Macaca fascicularis: one gene and its partners. The protein of the gene in region 3 purifies or fractionates together with the protein of the main gene of each other region. This does not show direct contact. Links are inferred from orthologs where the notes say so. Each region holds a gene or a part of one and is shown on either strand. Other genes may lie near its edges.

Region 1 (5,522 bases), on a different chromosome or scaffold from region 3:
TGAAGGAGGACTGGAACTCAGACAGGATGAACGCTACACTTGTTATGTATCAACAAGGAGGATAGGGGTAGAGATATAAAACGGAACTAGAAACTAAGGTCAGAAAACATATATATGTATATATACACATGCACACACAAACCACAAAACTAGGTCATAGCTGCCAGAAGAGGGTTGCAAAACTAAGCACGGCTCAAAAGAGTAGAGATATGAGTATTATCACACTTCTCCATCCCACTGGCAACTCCATCAATGGGGGAAGAGAACAAAGATGAATGAATTTCACTAACAAATTCATGTTTTGTGGGTGAGTACAAATATTCAAAGAAAAAAAAAGGGCTGGGAGTGATGGCTCACTCCTGCAATCCCTGTACTTTGGAAGGCCAAGGCGGGAGGATCGCTTGAGCCTGGGAGTTCAAGGCCAGTTTGGGGAACATGGTGAGACCCCATACAAAAAAATATTATCCCGGTGCAGTGACACATGCCTGTGGTCCCAGCTACTTGAGAGGCTGAAGTGGGAGGGTCCCTTGGGCTCCAGAGGTCGAGGCTGCAGTGAGCAGTGACTGCCCCATTGCACTCCAGCCTGACTGATACACCAAGACTGCATCTTAAAAAGAAAAAAAAAAAGCTAGTAAGATACAAGAGATAATCTTAAATATACCTGTGAAGTCCTAGGAACTGTTAGTTTGATTTATTTAGGAGCCGAAGTAAAAATAATCTCTCGACAAATACAGAAAGCTTCCTCAAGTGATCGTTGACACTCCGGTGTGATTATTTCAAAGTACAGCAGTGGTACAATATTCTTCTCTAGGAGTTCACCTTAAAATTATTAGAAAGTCAATGGGGACTGTGCACGAGGCTCGTGCCTGTAATCCCAGCACTTTGGGAGGCTGAGGGATCACTTGAGGTCAGGAGTTCTAGACCAGCCTGGCCAACAAAGCGAAACCCCATCTCTACTAAAAATACAAAAATTAGCAGTGCATGGCAGCGTGTACCTGTAATCCCAGTTACTCGGGAAGCTGAGGCAGGAGGATCCCTTGAACCCAGGAGGTGGAGGTTGCAGTGAGCAGAGATGGCACTACTGCACTCCAGTCTGGGCTACAGAGTGAGACTCTGTCTCAAAACAAAAATAAAACAAAAAAAAGAGTCAATGGAAAAAACTGATTCAACTAACACTTTGCCCTTAACTTCAAGTCTGTATTCTGATGCTCGTAGTCAGGTTAACTGACTCAGCTCATTTCAAACCTGTACATTTCACTTGGCATTGGAGCTTGAGAGAGATGTTTAAAGCATACATTTTAAGCCTCATGAAATTACAGGTTATCACAATAAAAATGAACGTCGACTGAAGTCACAAGTAAGCAGTTTGTTTCAGAAAGAGAAAAGTACCACCTGCTTGGCACTTCTATATACAAAAATAAATCCTCCTGTGTTAACAGTTACTTAATACACAAAGGCCCCAGCCAACATTACACCCGTTAAAAATACTATTTTAACTTAACACCATCTATTAGTGCTCCTTTCCTAAGTAAATTTCATGATTTTAAGAGTGTCCTAAAATTAGACTAACAAAATCTTTTCTTCACCTACTTCTGCGACGTCATGACTTCCAAACATTATGGTTAAGAAAATTGTATACATTACATCTTAAAATAACATCTTTACTTCTTCATGGACTTCAAGTGAGAATTTTTAACATAAAAATACATGAAAATTATTTAGTCCACCTTGTAAAGGATGAATTTGGAAAACTCTAGACTTTAAAGATGGAGAGATCGAAATAATTCCAGGAGTTAAGAAAACAATGGATACAGAATTCAGAAAGTGAAGATCACACACGATGTACAAGAACGAAATTGATCACCTGCATGTTTTATTATTCTTTGGAAAAGAAAAAAACTTTATATATATTAAAAACAAAAATAACTTTCTGCAAAGTGTTATCGTGCATGAAAACACACATCCCATTTATTTCCAGCAAACACTGTTCCCAAACTTAAGACCAGCTCTCGTTTCTGAATCAACGCTTTACTTCCAAGAGCCGCTCAACGCAAAGACCAGTCACCATCTGTTTCCACCAAAGTCAACCTCTATTTTAAAAATCACAGTTGGCCATCACGCCTACCTCTCCACAAACAAACGCTTGACACATTCAAGAGTCAGTGATTTTTTTTTTTTTTTTTTTTTGAGACAAGGTCTCGCTCTGTCGCCCAGGCTGGAGTGCAGTGACGCGATCTCGGCTCACTGCAGCCAGCCTCCACCTCCTGGGCTCAAGCGATCCTCCCACCTCAGCCTCCTGAATAGTTGAGATTACAGGCACCCGCCCTCACGCCCTGCTAATTTTTTAAAAAAAATTTTTGTGGAGACGGGGCCTCACTGGTCTCTAACTTCTGCGCTCCAGGCTGGTCTTTAACTCCTGGGCTCAAGCAATCCTCCCGCTTCGGCCTCCCGAGTAGCTGTGACCACAGGCGTGAGCCACCGCGCCCGGCTTGAGTTAGTGATTTCCGAGGTGCCCCGTTCACCTGACAAAAATTCTACATTTATTAACAAGTTCATTAATAGGCACGACATTCTGGTTAATTTTAGGTGCATTTTCAGAAACTGGTCTGAAAATGGTCCTTTTTCGGATGTCGCTTTCGTTATTCCACTCGGGAAATGCCAGAGTGGCAGGAACTCCAGTGGAGCGCAGGCGACCCCGACCAACCTCCGGCTTGGCTCCGGGGGCTATGGTTCCCCGCCCGCCCGCCCGCACTCGAGCCTCCCACCACCAGGATCTGGGCCGGGGGCGTGGGGCGTGTACCACGCGGAGGCAGAGGGGCCGGGCGAGGGCAGCCCAACGCCCCGGGGCCGGAACGGCTGGGCCGGCCGCCCGGGTGGACGCCGGAGCCGGACCCACAGCCCCGCGGGCCCCCGGTGGGCCGCGCCGGGCCCGGGGCCAGCGTGCGGACGGGCCGGGGCGGGCAGGAAAGCTGCGGCCCGTCCCAGTTCCGCGCTCCCGCACTCGCCCCCGCGGCGCCCTCACCTTCTCGCACAGCGTCCGCACTTGGTTCTCGTTCAGCTGCTTACACTCGTTCAGCTGCTCGACCCACTGGTCCAGCTCCTTGGTGAACGCCTTGTCGTCCATGGCGGCCCGATCCCGATGCGGATCCCGACCCCCGGCCCGGCCGCTGCCCTCCCCCCTCCCCACCCGCCCCCGGCCCCGGCCCGGGCGCCGCTCCCCTCTCCCTCAGCCGCCGTCGCCAGATCCCACAAGGGGAGGACCGAGCCGGGGAGGGCGGCCGCGGTCCCCGCGCCCCGCCCAAGCCCAGCAGGCGGCTCCGAGCGCGAGGCCTGTAGGAGACCCCCGCCCGCCCTTCCCCGCCCGGCCGCGCGCCGCAGGAGTCGGTGAAGGACGCGGGGAGGTGCTGGGAGGGCGGCGCGGGCCCTCGGACTAGCTCTCGCCGGACGAAGGCCGCCAGCTACCGCTTCAGGCCCGCCTCACGCCTGCCGGCCTCTCCCGGGTATCTTTCCCCTTCTCTCGCTCTTTCTCTTCCCTCCCTCCGGGTTTCCGTCATCGCTCGGGCATTTCCGCCGGGAAAAGGCGAGCAGGCGGCGGCGCCGCCGGGACACGGCGCGCTAGGGGCAGAACGGCGCCCTCGCGTGGCTTGGCGGAGAAACGGTCGGAGGAGGCCAGGATCCCTCCTGTCCCAACCCTGCCCAAGACCAAGCTCTGCTGGTTCTCCCTTTAGATATCCTGATCTCCGGGAACTTTGTCCTCACTTTAGCTTCCTGCAGTGCTTTTTCAGTGCTCGGAACAGGGAATTGGAAAACTTGGGCTTCCCTTAACATTGTCTCCCCAGAGTCTAGCACTCAATAGTAGGCATTCAATAATGGTGGAGTAAATTAATTATTTCCAGGCTTGCCTGTAGCCCTAACATCTTGAATCCTCCCTTTCAACATTAGAAAAGTGAAATGATTGCTCTGTAGGATAATCTGTGGCCCTTCTAGCTCCAGCGCTCTTGGCTGTGTTTTCTGCAATGTGTACTGAGTTGTAATGATTTGTTCATTCAACAAATATTTATTGAGTGAGACACAGCAGGGACCCCTCTTAGGGGCCTTCTAGGCACTCCCACCCCCACCCTCCCCAAGCATGGAAATAAAGGAAAATCTTGAGTTCCCCGAAGGGACATTCCAGGCACCTAACTTCCTCAATAAGTCAATGAGCAACCTGATAAGCAAGAAGGTAATAATAGCTTAAGACAGTAGCCAAGGACGTTAGATTCACAAAATGTTTGCTTCCCTATATAAACTGGAGACAACATATGTCCCTGAGTTGTTTTTCAGAAACCTGGACCTCACCAAATGGAAAATGGTGTCCACTATCATGGAGATCTCAAACTACCTATCTTTGTTCTAAATTTCTTCCTGAGGAGCCTGGAAGAATTCTCAAAGCTTTGCCTCCTTAGCCAATTACAAATCAGAAAATCTTTGAATCCACTTATGACCTGTGGGTCCCTACTTCAGATATCCTGGCTTTTTAGATCAAACCCACGTATAGCCTCCATGTATTGATTTATGACTTTGCCTGTAACATCTGCCTCCCTGCCTTTAAAAACCCTTACCTGTGCTGGGTGCAAGGGCTCATGCCTGTAATCCCAGCACTTTGGGAGGCCGAGGCCAGGAGTTGGAGACCAGCCTGCCAACATTGTGAAACCCCTTCTCTACTAAAAATACAAAAACTTCCTGGGCATGGTGGCAGGCGCCTGTACTCAGGAGGCTGAGGCAGATGAATTACTTGAAATCAGGAGATGGAGGTTGCAGTGAGCTGAGATCTCGCCATTGCACTCCAGCCTGGGTGACAAGAGCGAAACTCCATTTCAAAAAAAAAAAAAAAAAGCACACAAAAAACCTCTTACCTGTAAACCATCAGGGAGTTGGGGTCTTAAGCATGAGCTGCCTGATTCTTCTTGGTTGGTGTGATGCAATAAATGCCTCCCTTTCACTGCAAACCCCAATGTCAGTGTTTGGCTTTGCTATGCTGGTGGGAGGACCTAAATTCAGTTACGTAACATGAGCAACTGCTAGCTACCAGATACCTTGAATAGCAAGTGCTAAATGATCATACTGTGTCTATTAAAGGTACATATTACTGCAGCTGACCCAAGCGGAAGGTAACATCCTGTATCAGAAAGCAAGGGTTCTTGTGTTTGCTAACCCCCTAGCTATGTCCTTGGGCAATCATCAAACCTCCTTAAGCCTCAAATTCTTCATCTGATAAAATCAGTAAAAGGCCTACCTTTGTGAAGATTAAGTTTTAAAAGTTCCTGCCCAATAGTACCATATGGGAGCGATATGTTAGTTACCTTATCCCTCCTAGGGAACAATTACAGAAAGCTTTAGAAAGGCGGTGTTTGAACTGAATTTTCAACTTTCTCCCAAGGCAAAACCTTGAAGTTGCCTGGAGAAGAGGAAAGAAGGTCTAAGGAATTTTTTTGTGTGTGCGCCAGAAGACAAACGAGTGAAAGACCATTCATTGTCTGTTT
Region 2 (5,025 bases), on a different chromosome or scaffold from region 3:
GTATCACTAACTTTAAAGTTGAAGGCAGATGTTTCTTCCTTAGCTGCAAAGGAGGCTGATAAAACATTTACCTGGTACTTTCAAATTCTTTAGGAGGGAGGAATGCTCTGCCTTATTAGGTGAGGGATTCCCTAAACACAGGATTTAGGATATTGGGCAGCCAAAAGAGAAATGACAGATGTCTGCTACAGCCCATTCTCTTGGCCATTCAATATCAACATACTTCTTCAGCTAATTCTTCCAAAACTATATTCAAAGGGAAAGGACTTGACAATGTTAACAGTCACAGACATGTAACAGTCACAGACACTGTTAGTTGCTTTCTCAATATTCTTTCTTCTTGCTAATACTGATTTTATTTGGGACAGCTATGTACCCTGCTTTCTTTGCAGGTACCAGTGGCCATTTAACTGGTCAGGCAAGTAAGTCAAGGGGGAATCCATTTGGAATTTCTGGGAAAGCTTTGCTTTCCCTCATAAAAGGGGAATATATATAGCTGGCACAGGCCATTTCCATTTTTTCTTCCTTGCCTTCAACATGGGCATGACACTTGGCTAGTCAACAACTTTCTAGCAAACACAAGAAAACAGCATGAGGGATGAAAGCCAATATGGTAAGGAGGCAGATCTGAAAGACAGAACTGCACCTTTTCCTGTATATAGTAAGAGTCACTGATTATACATTATTCCTTTCAGTTGAATGCACACATACTCTCAGCCACGCCATTCTAGAAAATAATAATATCTCATTAGTTAAGACTCCATTTATTGAAGTCATAATACTTTCTAATATATGAGCTGTGGTGTTTCTTTTGCACTGATAAAAACAGATTTTGCTAATTAAGAACCACTTGAACTCCCAGCAGTATTTGGCATTTAGGCATCTCAAGTTAGTTAGTGATTAAAAATGAGCTTAAGACTGTCTGGGTTTGAATCTTGGTTCCAGTTTGGACAAATAACCACCTCCTTGTGCCTGAGTATCTGCAAAATGAGGTACAGTTAAAATGGAGATTATATAATATAGTACCTGACAAGACAGTAAAGCACTCAATAGATGGTAGCCATTATTGGCAATACCATACATACTTTGCTTTTATGGCACCAAAGTTTTCTATTTCTCTCCTACCCATTTATTATCTCTATTGAATTCTCAAGTTTAAAGTCCCTCTTCTGTATCCTATACATACTTACATAATGGATTTATCACACTGCATTATAATTATATATATACTTGTCTCCTGTACCAGACTTTTTCATTTTTAAAATCATAAGTATTAATGAAGTGGTTGGCACATAGACTATTTTCTTTTTAATTTTTTAGAGTGCTAACTATTACACAATGGGGCCTAGACTAGACATTTTTAAATTAGTGTCTTCAGGAATTCTTTGGGATGATTAGAATATAAATTCTTGAACTCCATCACCAAATTTCTATTTCAGTGGGTCAGGGAACCACATTTTGAAGAACACTAAAATAGACCTTTAATGTTTGAATCAAATTATGCATAAGGTATTAATATAAGAATCATATATAAGATATGGATATAATACTACACTAATATAAGGTACTATTTGTAGAGTTATACACTGCTGAATATACTGTGCTAATTACAAAGTATGTATGACTCTTGTGAGGACCACTTGACAAGGTTGCTATATATATATATACGTAAAAAAACACTGCACTTCCTAATTTGACTTATTACTGAATAAAATCAGCTAATCTTCTCAAAATGCAGTTTTTGTTAGAAAATGTAATTTTGAACTAAGATTTTTGCAAACCAGGCAAGTTCTTCATCCACTGAAAGAGAAACTTTAAAATCCACTTAAAATGAAAAGCATTCCTCCCCCACTCAATTTTCTAACTACACATTATCTTCATAGCATTAACACCAGCCAGAATTTATATTATGTAGGGCACTAAAAGCTTCTTAGACTTGTACCTCAGGCTTTTAATTTCTCAGGGGGAAAAGTTAATATATAGATTTATCCTGACACTTGAGATATAAAGAACTTTATAAACAGCTCTAAAGGAACATAAAGCAGATAAAGGGACACCATATTATACCTTAATTTGATTACTTCATCATTTTCGCTGAAATCTGGCCATGGTAAGTTTGGCCATAGCTGCCAAATGGCATAGAGTACCTGCCTCTTGAATGGATTTATGGGTCACTTAAGGTATACTTCAAGGCAGATGGCTGGGCTAACAGTTTCCTTACTTACTCTTGGGAAATGAAATAAAAAATGCTCACACTTGGAGGTGTTTTTTTGTCAAATTCTATGCAGGATATCGAACAGAAATTTGAAAAATTCTTAAATGACATATACCTATTCATTAACACCCACTGCTCTAGATGACATCCATTAGTTATTACTGGGATCAGATGCTTTTAGGACATCTTTGGAAGATTTTGTTTTAACTGTAGTTCTTTATAGCATTACAAAAGAAATATATCACATAAAGCACTAACAACTCTTTTTAATACTGTGTCTCTCCCATGCAGTATGGTGCTTAATGTTACTGGAAACTATTGACAGGTTTAGCATTATTTCAATTAATTCTGGGCAAATCTAAATAGAATAGTATAACACGAAGAATTTATAAATTTGAAATGTGAGTAAACTGAGATGGGAATGAGTTGATGAGTGAACCCAGCTGACCACTGAGCATTTGAATCTCAATGTTGTCTACACAGCATTATGAGTGTAATAATTTTCATTAGGTAACAAAACTGCTTCCTCACCTTTTTATATAGCTTTAAAAAAACAGAAAAAAGACAAAAAAAAAACAAAAAAAAAAACAAAAAACACAACTGCTTCTATGTAAAAAAAAAAAAAAAAAAAAAAGCAAGCCAACTACCTATTAGTGCTAGGACTGAAAGACATCCAATCCAAGTAAGTGATGGTTCTTGATTATAAAATGGAAATTGTATAAAAATTAAAATAGAATATAGAACTAATACGATAACATTGAAAAACTGACTACTTATATTTGGTTTTTTGATTTTTTGTGTTTTTTTGGCTGATTATATTTAATAAAAGCTACTTTTAGTATTTGAACTAAGTGCACGTGTGCATGCGCATACACAGGACAAGCTCCTCAGCTTTGAACAGTATGAACTTTGAACAATACGACAACTATAGTATCACTGGGGAAAAAAATAGCTGACTTATTTCCAAGTACGTTTCCTGGGACTAGCAGTAGGTTCTCTCAAATTAAAAGTAAAGGCACCAGGCTATAAAGTGCCAATTCTTAGCACCAGAGAGACTTAAAACTTCACAGGTGAATGACATTACAAATCAGAGAATCTGCTGACCTAGTTCTGTGGAATTGTATTATTTTGTCAAATGGAAAAAAAAAAAATCAGGGTTTATGCCAAATAGATTTAAAAAGTTAAATCTTTCCTAAAATTTCCTAGAAGTGTATTTTACAATGCTATATAAAATAAAATTGCTGGCTTATAAAAAAATGCTCAAAGTTTCAAAGATGTGAAAAATAACAATGAACTGAAAACATAGTTTATATAAATCAAAGTCCCAGAAATGAAAATTAAAAGTAGTCTCTTTGAGAAAGGAATGGTGAAATTCAGCATGTATTCATATTAACACATCTGAGAACCGTGGACAGCCATTATTGACTGGAATTCTAAATTGCCACCTGATACCTTTAATTAAGATTAAATCAAATCTGAGGCAAGACACTTAATGGACAGTACTTGAATGGGAAGATAGTAACTTCCTTCCTTGATAGACAATCTCCAGCCATCATTCAGAGTTCAGTTATTTGATGGCTTGGGAAGCAGTGTCCATTGAGTTTTCCTTTCTGGCTTGAAGAGACTCACTGCTAATGGACAATAATTCTCGAAGTTCCTTATTTTCAAGCTGGAAAAAAAAAAGGCATGTTTATTTCTGGTATATTTACTGTCAAGCTGCATTACAACAACACATTATTTTGAGCCAGGAGCAGAAAACATTATTTTTAATTTAAAAAATTTTAAGGAAACAAAAAACCCACTAGTTGAGAATTTCCTTAAATACTACTTATTTATTCATTTAACAAACATTTACATGTAGGATGTAGGCAATGATACTCTTTTGTAGTAGTAATTTACTGAGTAATTTCTATATACCAAGTGTTACAATTACAAAGGAGAAACAAAAAACAGGGTCCCTCTCCATTTGAGGAATTCACTATGTTTTATTCTTCATGGTTCCCACAGTTTTACTATTATTTCTTTTATTTAAAAAATTCCTAATAATCGTTTCACTCTGATTAATCTCCTCTCCTGGATATCTTATAGTTCCAGAGAAATGGAAGGAAAGGGGGAAAGAAATTACTTATTGAGCATGTAGCTGGGTACTACTTGGGTGCCCTGTATATGCTATCTCACAATGATCTGTAGGGTAGGTATCATTGCCTACATCCATGTATTTCATGAGGATGCTCTGGCTCACAAAATTCCTAAAAGTTGTCCAAATTCAGACAACTTGGATGTGGTATTACTGGGGTCTGAATCTAGTGGTCATGTTTTTTCTACTTGAAGTATTAAGGTAGAATTTGTCCCACATTTCCTTAGGGCTGTTTCCATAAGTGAGGTAAATCGAGGATAAATAGAAGGTCATGCTATCATTTCACTAGCTCCTAATTCCTCCTTGGGACCTGTCACTACCTTTGATTTCTAGAGAGAGTAGCTTCCGCTCTTCATCCTTATTCTCTGCAGAAAATTCTGGTAAACCAAAGCATTTTTAGCTTCACCAAGATGTGCGGAAGTCCCAGCTAGAGTAACTAAGAGATTAGAGCCTGTGGTCGATGAATCTTCAGTATTTGTATCTGTCTCCTAGCATTTACATACTATTTAATATCATATGATACTAGGATTATCCCTTCCACTAGACTCTGGGCAGGTACCTGTGTTTTTCTCTCTGGTATTTCTCAAAGGCCCCAGGACAGTACCTTGTAATAAGCAGCACACAAACCATTTACTGAAATGCTTCATTTTTTTTTTTTTAATTTTTCAGACAG
Region 3 (5,025 bases):
ATGCCTCAGTCCTGCAATTATCCCCTCTTGGATCATTTATTTTAGGACAAAAAAAAATGTTCTAGTATCTCTCAGCTATAAAACATCCTCCCCTTGACCTCACATTCTCCTTCAGCTACCATCCACTTTCTCTCCTCTTCACAAAACTTTTATATCATCTACCTCCTTTTTTGACATTCCCTTCAATACATACCAATTAGGCTTTCAGTCCCACTACTTCACTTACAGTTGCTCTTATCAAGGTCATTATCTTCATGTTGCCAAATCCAATGGGCACCTTGGTTCTTACCATAATGCCACTTATTAGTAGCATTTTACCCAGCAGATCACTCCTTTTTTCTTGAAAGACTTTCTTAGCTTTTATGATATCATAATCTCCTGGATTTCCAGCCACTTCACTGTCTTTCGTACTCTTCTGGCTCCTTTCCTGACACATGCCCACCTCAACATACTGGTGTGCCCCAGGACTTTGTCCTGCCTTCCATTCTCTTCTGTCTCTACTCCCTCCCTGGGTTATCTCAGTCAGTTCTATGGCCTTTAACACTGCCTATAAGTGTTACAAACAACTTCCGAATTTATTTCTCAAAGTCAGCCCTCTCCCTAGAATTTTAGACTTGTATTTCCAATTGCCTGCAGCTCCACATGGGTATCTAATGGGCATCTAAAACTTAGTATGACCAAAACAGAACTCTTGATATTCCCCCCACATCCTGGCAAATGGTACTTATTCTTGATTCCTTTCTTTGCCTCTCTAACCACATCTAAATGCACTGCAAGTCTTGTCAGCTACATCTCCAAATCCAGGTCGGCATCATCTCTCACCTTGACTATTTCAAGGGTTTCCTAACTAATCTCCCTGGAGTGGGTCTACACTTTTCTGGTCCAATCTTTACACAGAAGCTAATGTTTTTAGAAACATAAATCAGATCATATCACTCCCCTGCTTAAAATCTCCAAAGGCTTCCTTCCCTTTGACTGTGAGTCTACTTCAAGCTCTCTACTTTTGCTTACAGGCTCTTGGCAAAGTGGCCTTAGGCCACCTCTCTGACTCTATCTGTAGGATCCCGGCCCTCGGCCCTGTGTTCTAGCCACAAGAGCCTTCTTTCACTACCTCTGACACTCTAAACCTGCTTTCCCCTTGCTAAGGCTGTTCTCTCTGTTTGGAATGCTCTTTCCTCTGATGTTCCTATGGCTGGCTCCCTGTCCCTCAGATCTTGGCTTAAATGTCACCTTCTCAGAGGTCCACCTACTGGCTGCCCAATCTTAGTAGTCTACCAATGCTTCTTTCATGTTATCCTGTTTAAATTTTCTTCATTGTATTTACCATTCTTTGATAGTTTGGTTTACTTAACTTTTTGTTTTTTATCTTTCTTCCTCAACTTCAATATATCATGAAAGTAGGGACCTTGTCTTGCCTGGAACACAGTTAGAGCCTAATATGCTGAAATGAATGCATGCACACATGCTCTGTGACAACACTGAAGACAGATTTTCTTCTACTCTTCTCCTGTGCAGGACCTCCTTGGCTCACCAAAGACATAGGGCACTTCTCCAGCTCCTCTTCATTCTTGATCTGCACATCTGCGATGGAGATATACTTGTGCTGACAAAGATAAGAAGACATCAACAAGGGCTGAGGGCCTCATTCACATGTGTACCAATCTCTTACTTAAATTCCCCAAAAGCAAGGAAATGTTCTGCTTATGCGTTTGTCACCCCACATAGACATGAACTCTTTCAAGGCAGGAGTCTTAATCACCTCCGCATTATCAGCACCAGTCAAAGTGCTTTGTGCACAGTGTTTCTGTTTATTCTGTTTCTACATTCGCGGAAGAGCAGCAAATACGTAAGCATTTATCTTCAAACAAAGTGGAAGGGGAAGCCAGAAACAGGCCCCTGCCCCTGGACCACTGCCCTAAGAGTTTTGATGCGTGTGCATGTATGCACGGAGTGATGACTCCATGCATACAATGGATATAGAGCAGGCTCCTATTCAATCCTGGGCCTTTGGAAGTCAGTGGACTTATGGAGAGAGAGAAGTGAAAGGAAAAGAAGCAAGGAATGGGAAGAGAGAGAGAAGAATGGGAAGAGGAAAAAGAAATGAGAGGAAGAAAGGAGAATTTTAAAATCTACCTGAATATGGGAAACTGAGTAAGTAAAGAGAGACCTAAGTTTTCCTAACCGGCCAGAGGACTGCAGGGGGAATACAGAAGGTCCAGAAAGAGTCTGGTATAAAAGCCCCACCCGGGCTGGGCGCGGTGGCTCACGCCTGTAATCCCAGCACTTTGGGAGGCTGAGGCGGGCAGATCACAAGGTCAGGAGATCGAGACCATCCTGGCTAACACAGTGAAACCCCGTCTCTACTAAATATACAAAAAATTAGCCGGGCGAGGTGGCGGGCGCCTGTAGTCCCAGCTACTCGGGAGGCTGAGGCAGGAGAATGGCGTGAACCCGGGAGGCAGAGCTTGCAGTGAGCCGAGATCGCGCCACTGCACTCCAGCCTGGGGGACAGAGCAAGACTCTGTCTCAAAAAAAAAAAAAAAAAAAAGCCCCACCCAGTATCCAGGAGCCTGGTAATCTGACCTGCTTTGATGGCTCCCTATCCCTGAAGACTGAGAGCCCACCCTGGTCACCTGCTTTAGGGTCTTCACACTCTCATGGATGGGCCTGGGTAATCCAACCAATGTATCTGTGTCCCTGTAAAAGGCCAGACATACCAGATCATAAGCTTCCAAAGTACAGGGAACTACTGATACCCCAATATCCCCCTAGAGTCACACGGACCATGCTACTTTCAACAACATCTACCCCCAGTACCCTAGACCTTCCTCTGCAAGCTTGTAGATCCCACATCAGTGCTTCAGGACACAAAAATAATAATAGCACACAGAAATGTTCCTGGAAATCAGGAGACTTTTATAGTCTTTTGGGTACTCACTTGGTGTGGGAGTGGTAGATTCCTACTTAAAAGGGGTATAGCCCAATGACATCTTGACTGTGAAACTCCACTAATAAAGACTCAATTTTCAAGAGGTCAGTGGGAAGGATTCATGAAGATGGGGAAATGGGGGAAGATTGGATCCGTTCTAACCATGTCTCTTCTTCACAGAATTTTAGCCCATTTGAGCAGGAAGGGCCCATAGAAACCATCTAACTCAATAACCTCAGGAAAAAATTAAGGCCCAAAAGAGAAAGGACTTGTTGCTCAAAGTCCTACAGTTGGCAAAAAACACAAAAGTTCTTTGAGGAAAAGTGGAAGAAACTCAAGGAAAAAAAAAAATCCATAGAAAGAACCCAAAGTAGTCACTGGGAGTTGTCCATGGCCTAGGGGCTCTAGGTTACATTATGACTACCAAGCACCATCCCTCATTCCAAGCTACCTGCTCCTCTGGCCCCTAGGAACCACTCTATAGCCAGTTCCAACCAGTCACTTACTGCCCCAGGGTGAATCCGATGAACTTGTTCCTGCTCATCTCCAAGAAGTGCTCAATGTCCTTCTGTCTGAGAAGATGGTGGAAAGACCAATCCCAGAGAAGGGAAGAAAAGCAAACTTTGAGAGAGAGAAACTTTCCAGGCTCCTACCCCTCCAATCAGAGGACTGGAGCGGTGGAAAAAGGCAGCAATCAACAGAAGGAATTTCAAACCCAGGAGTTCTGACTGCCAGACCAACTTAACGAGCCTTGAATACATAGACTACTCCATCTTGGGCCTTTAGAGACTGAAACCCCAAAGCATAGGGGTCCCTGATGCTATTAAACCTACCTGACCTTTGGGGCCCAGGGCAGGCCCTTGGGAAAAGTCACCCGCTCAGCAGAGAGGGGTGCCTCTGAGGGTGGAGGTGGCACCAGAGGGTCCTGCTCTAGCAGGTCTAGCTCTCCATCCAAGGTTCGTTCTCCATCACCAGCAGACTCCTCTTCCTCCTCTGTGGCTGGCTCCTCAGTCTTGAAGAGATCCCTTTCATTGTAGATGTCCAGGCTGTCCTGCTTAGTGAGGAGTTGCTGGAGGGGAAAGAAAAGAGGGTAGGCGTGCAGAGAGCTCACTCTGGGCATCCTTGTCTGAGGCCACCCCATATCCACAGACCTCCAGATTTCAGGGAACATGGAATCTGAACACAGCCCTTGTGAAAACATCCAATTCCCCATCTCAACCCTACTGTCCCCACCCGAACCAATAACAGAACAAGAAGTTCTCAGGCAACCCTGCCATTAGCCAGGGAACAGAGCATAGATAATCCCAAAGTCAGTTACTTAGCTTTCAGAAAGCAGTGATGCCTTTTTTTGCCAGCACTTTCCTTCCTAATTATGCTCTGCTTAGGTGAACATTCAATTAGTTTGCCTTCTGTGAGCATACACCAGCTGGCTGACTGAGGAAGAGGAGGACAGAAGCTTGCTGCTAGGCAGAGGGAAGCAAGTTTGGAATTTTAAATCTTGTGACAGAGAAAAAAAGATTGGACAGAAATAGGCCAAAAAGTTAACAGTGACTGTCTCTGGTTGTTAAGATTGTGGGTGATTTTTCTTTTCTCCCGTCATCACATTTTTATATTTGTTCCAAATTTTCTACAATGAGTAAGCATTACTTTATAAAACAAAAATAAAGGTTAAAAAATTTTATTGCAGATAACGGAGATTGGATTACTGAGCACTACTGTCTAGCCTGTTGATGAACTCAAGTAGGTCAGGCAGGGGAGTTTGTAAGAACATAGTCAGGTCTCAGTATAACCTGTCATTCTGACCTTTTTAGGACAGCAGACTACAGTCATGTGCTGCACAACGATGCTTCAGTCAACAATGGACTGCATACATAATTGTGGACCCATAAGATTATAATACTGTATTTTTACTGTGCCTTTTCTAGGCTGAGATACACAAACACCATTGGGTTACAATTGCATATGGTATTCGGTATGGTAACCTGCTGTACAGGTTTGTAGTCTAGGAACAATAGGGTATATACCTAGGTATGCAGTAGGCTATGCCATCTGGGTTTGTGTAAGTACACTCTATGATGTTTGCTCAGTGACAAAAT

The links.
Region 1: the proteins of STRIP2 (region 3) and PPP2CB purify together in Homo sapiens (affinity purification with mass spectrometry; 3 studies listed by BioGRID and IntAct, counting the BioPlex papers as one, with this or other methods). This does not show direct contact. The link is inferred for Macaca fascicularis from reciprocal best matches to the Homo sapiens genes STRIP2 and PPP2CB.
Region 2: the proteins of STRIP2 (region 3) and SIKE1 purify together in Homo sapiens (affinity purification with mass spectrometry; 3 studies listed by BioGRID and IntAct, with this or other methods). This does not show direct contact. The link is inferred for Macaca fascicularis from reciprocal best matches to the Homo sapiens genes STRIP2 and SIKE1.

What each region holds. Positions count from the first base shown.
Region 1 is NC_088382.1:34,023,633-34,029,154, forward strand, and holds the start of PPP2CB (serine/threonine-protein phosphatase 2A catalytic subunit beta isoform), read right to left. Parts: upstream 3,535-5,522; 5' UTR 3,125-3,534; coding exon 3,023-3,124; intron 1-3,022.
Region 2 is NC_088375.1:119,597,382-119,602,406, reverse strand, and holds part of SIKE1 (suppressor of IKBKE 1), read right to left. Parts: intron 3,885-5,025; coding exon 3,783-3,884; 3' UTR 1-3,782.
Region 3 is NC_088377.1:170,927,037-170,932,061, reverse strand, and holds part of STRIP2 (striatin-interacting protein 2), read right to left. Parts: intron 3,999-5,025; coding exon 3,763-3,998; intron 3,502-3,762; coding exon 3,436-3,501; intron 2,698-3,435; coding exon 2,634-2,697; intron 1,604-2,633; coding exon 1,532-1,603; intron 1-1,531. UniProt on the Homo sapiens protein: Plays a role in the regulation of cell morphology and cytoskeletal organization. Required in the control of cell shape. Calmodulin-binding scaffolding protein which is the center of the striatin-interacting phosphatase and kinase (STRIPAK) complexes.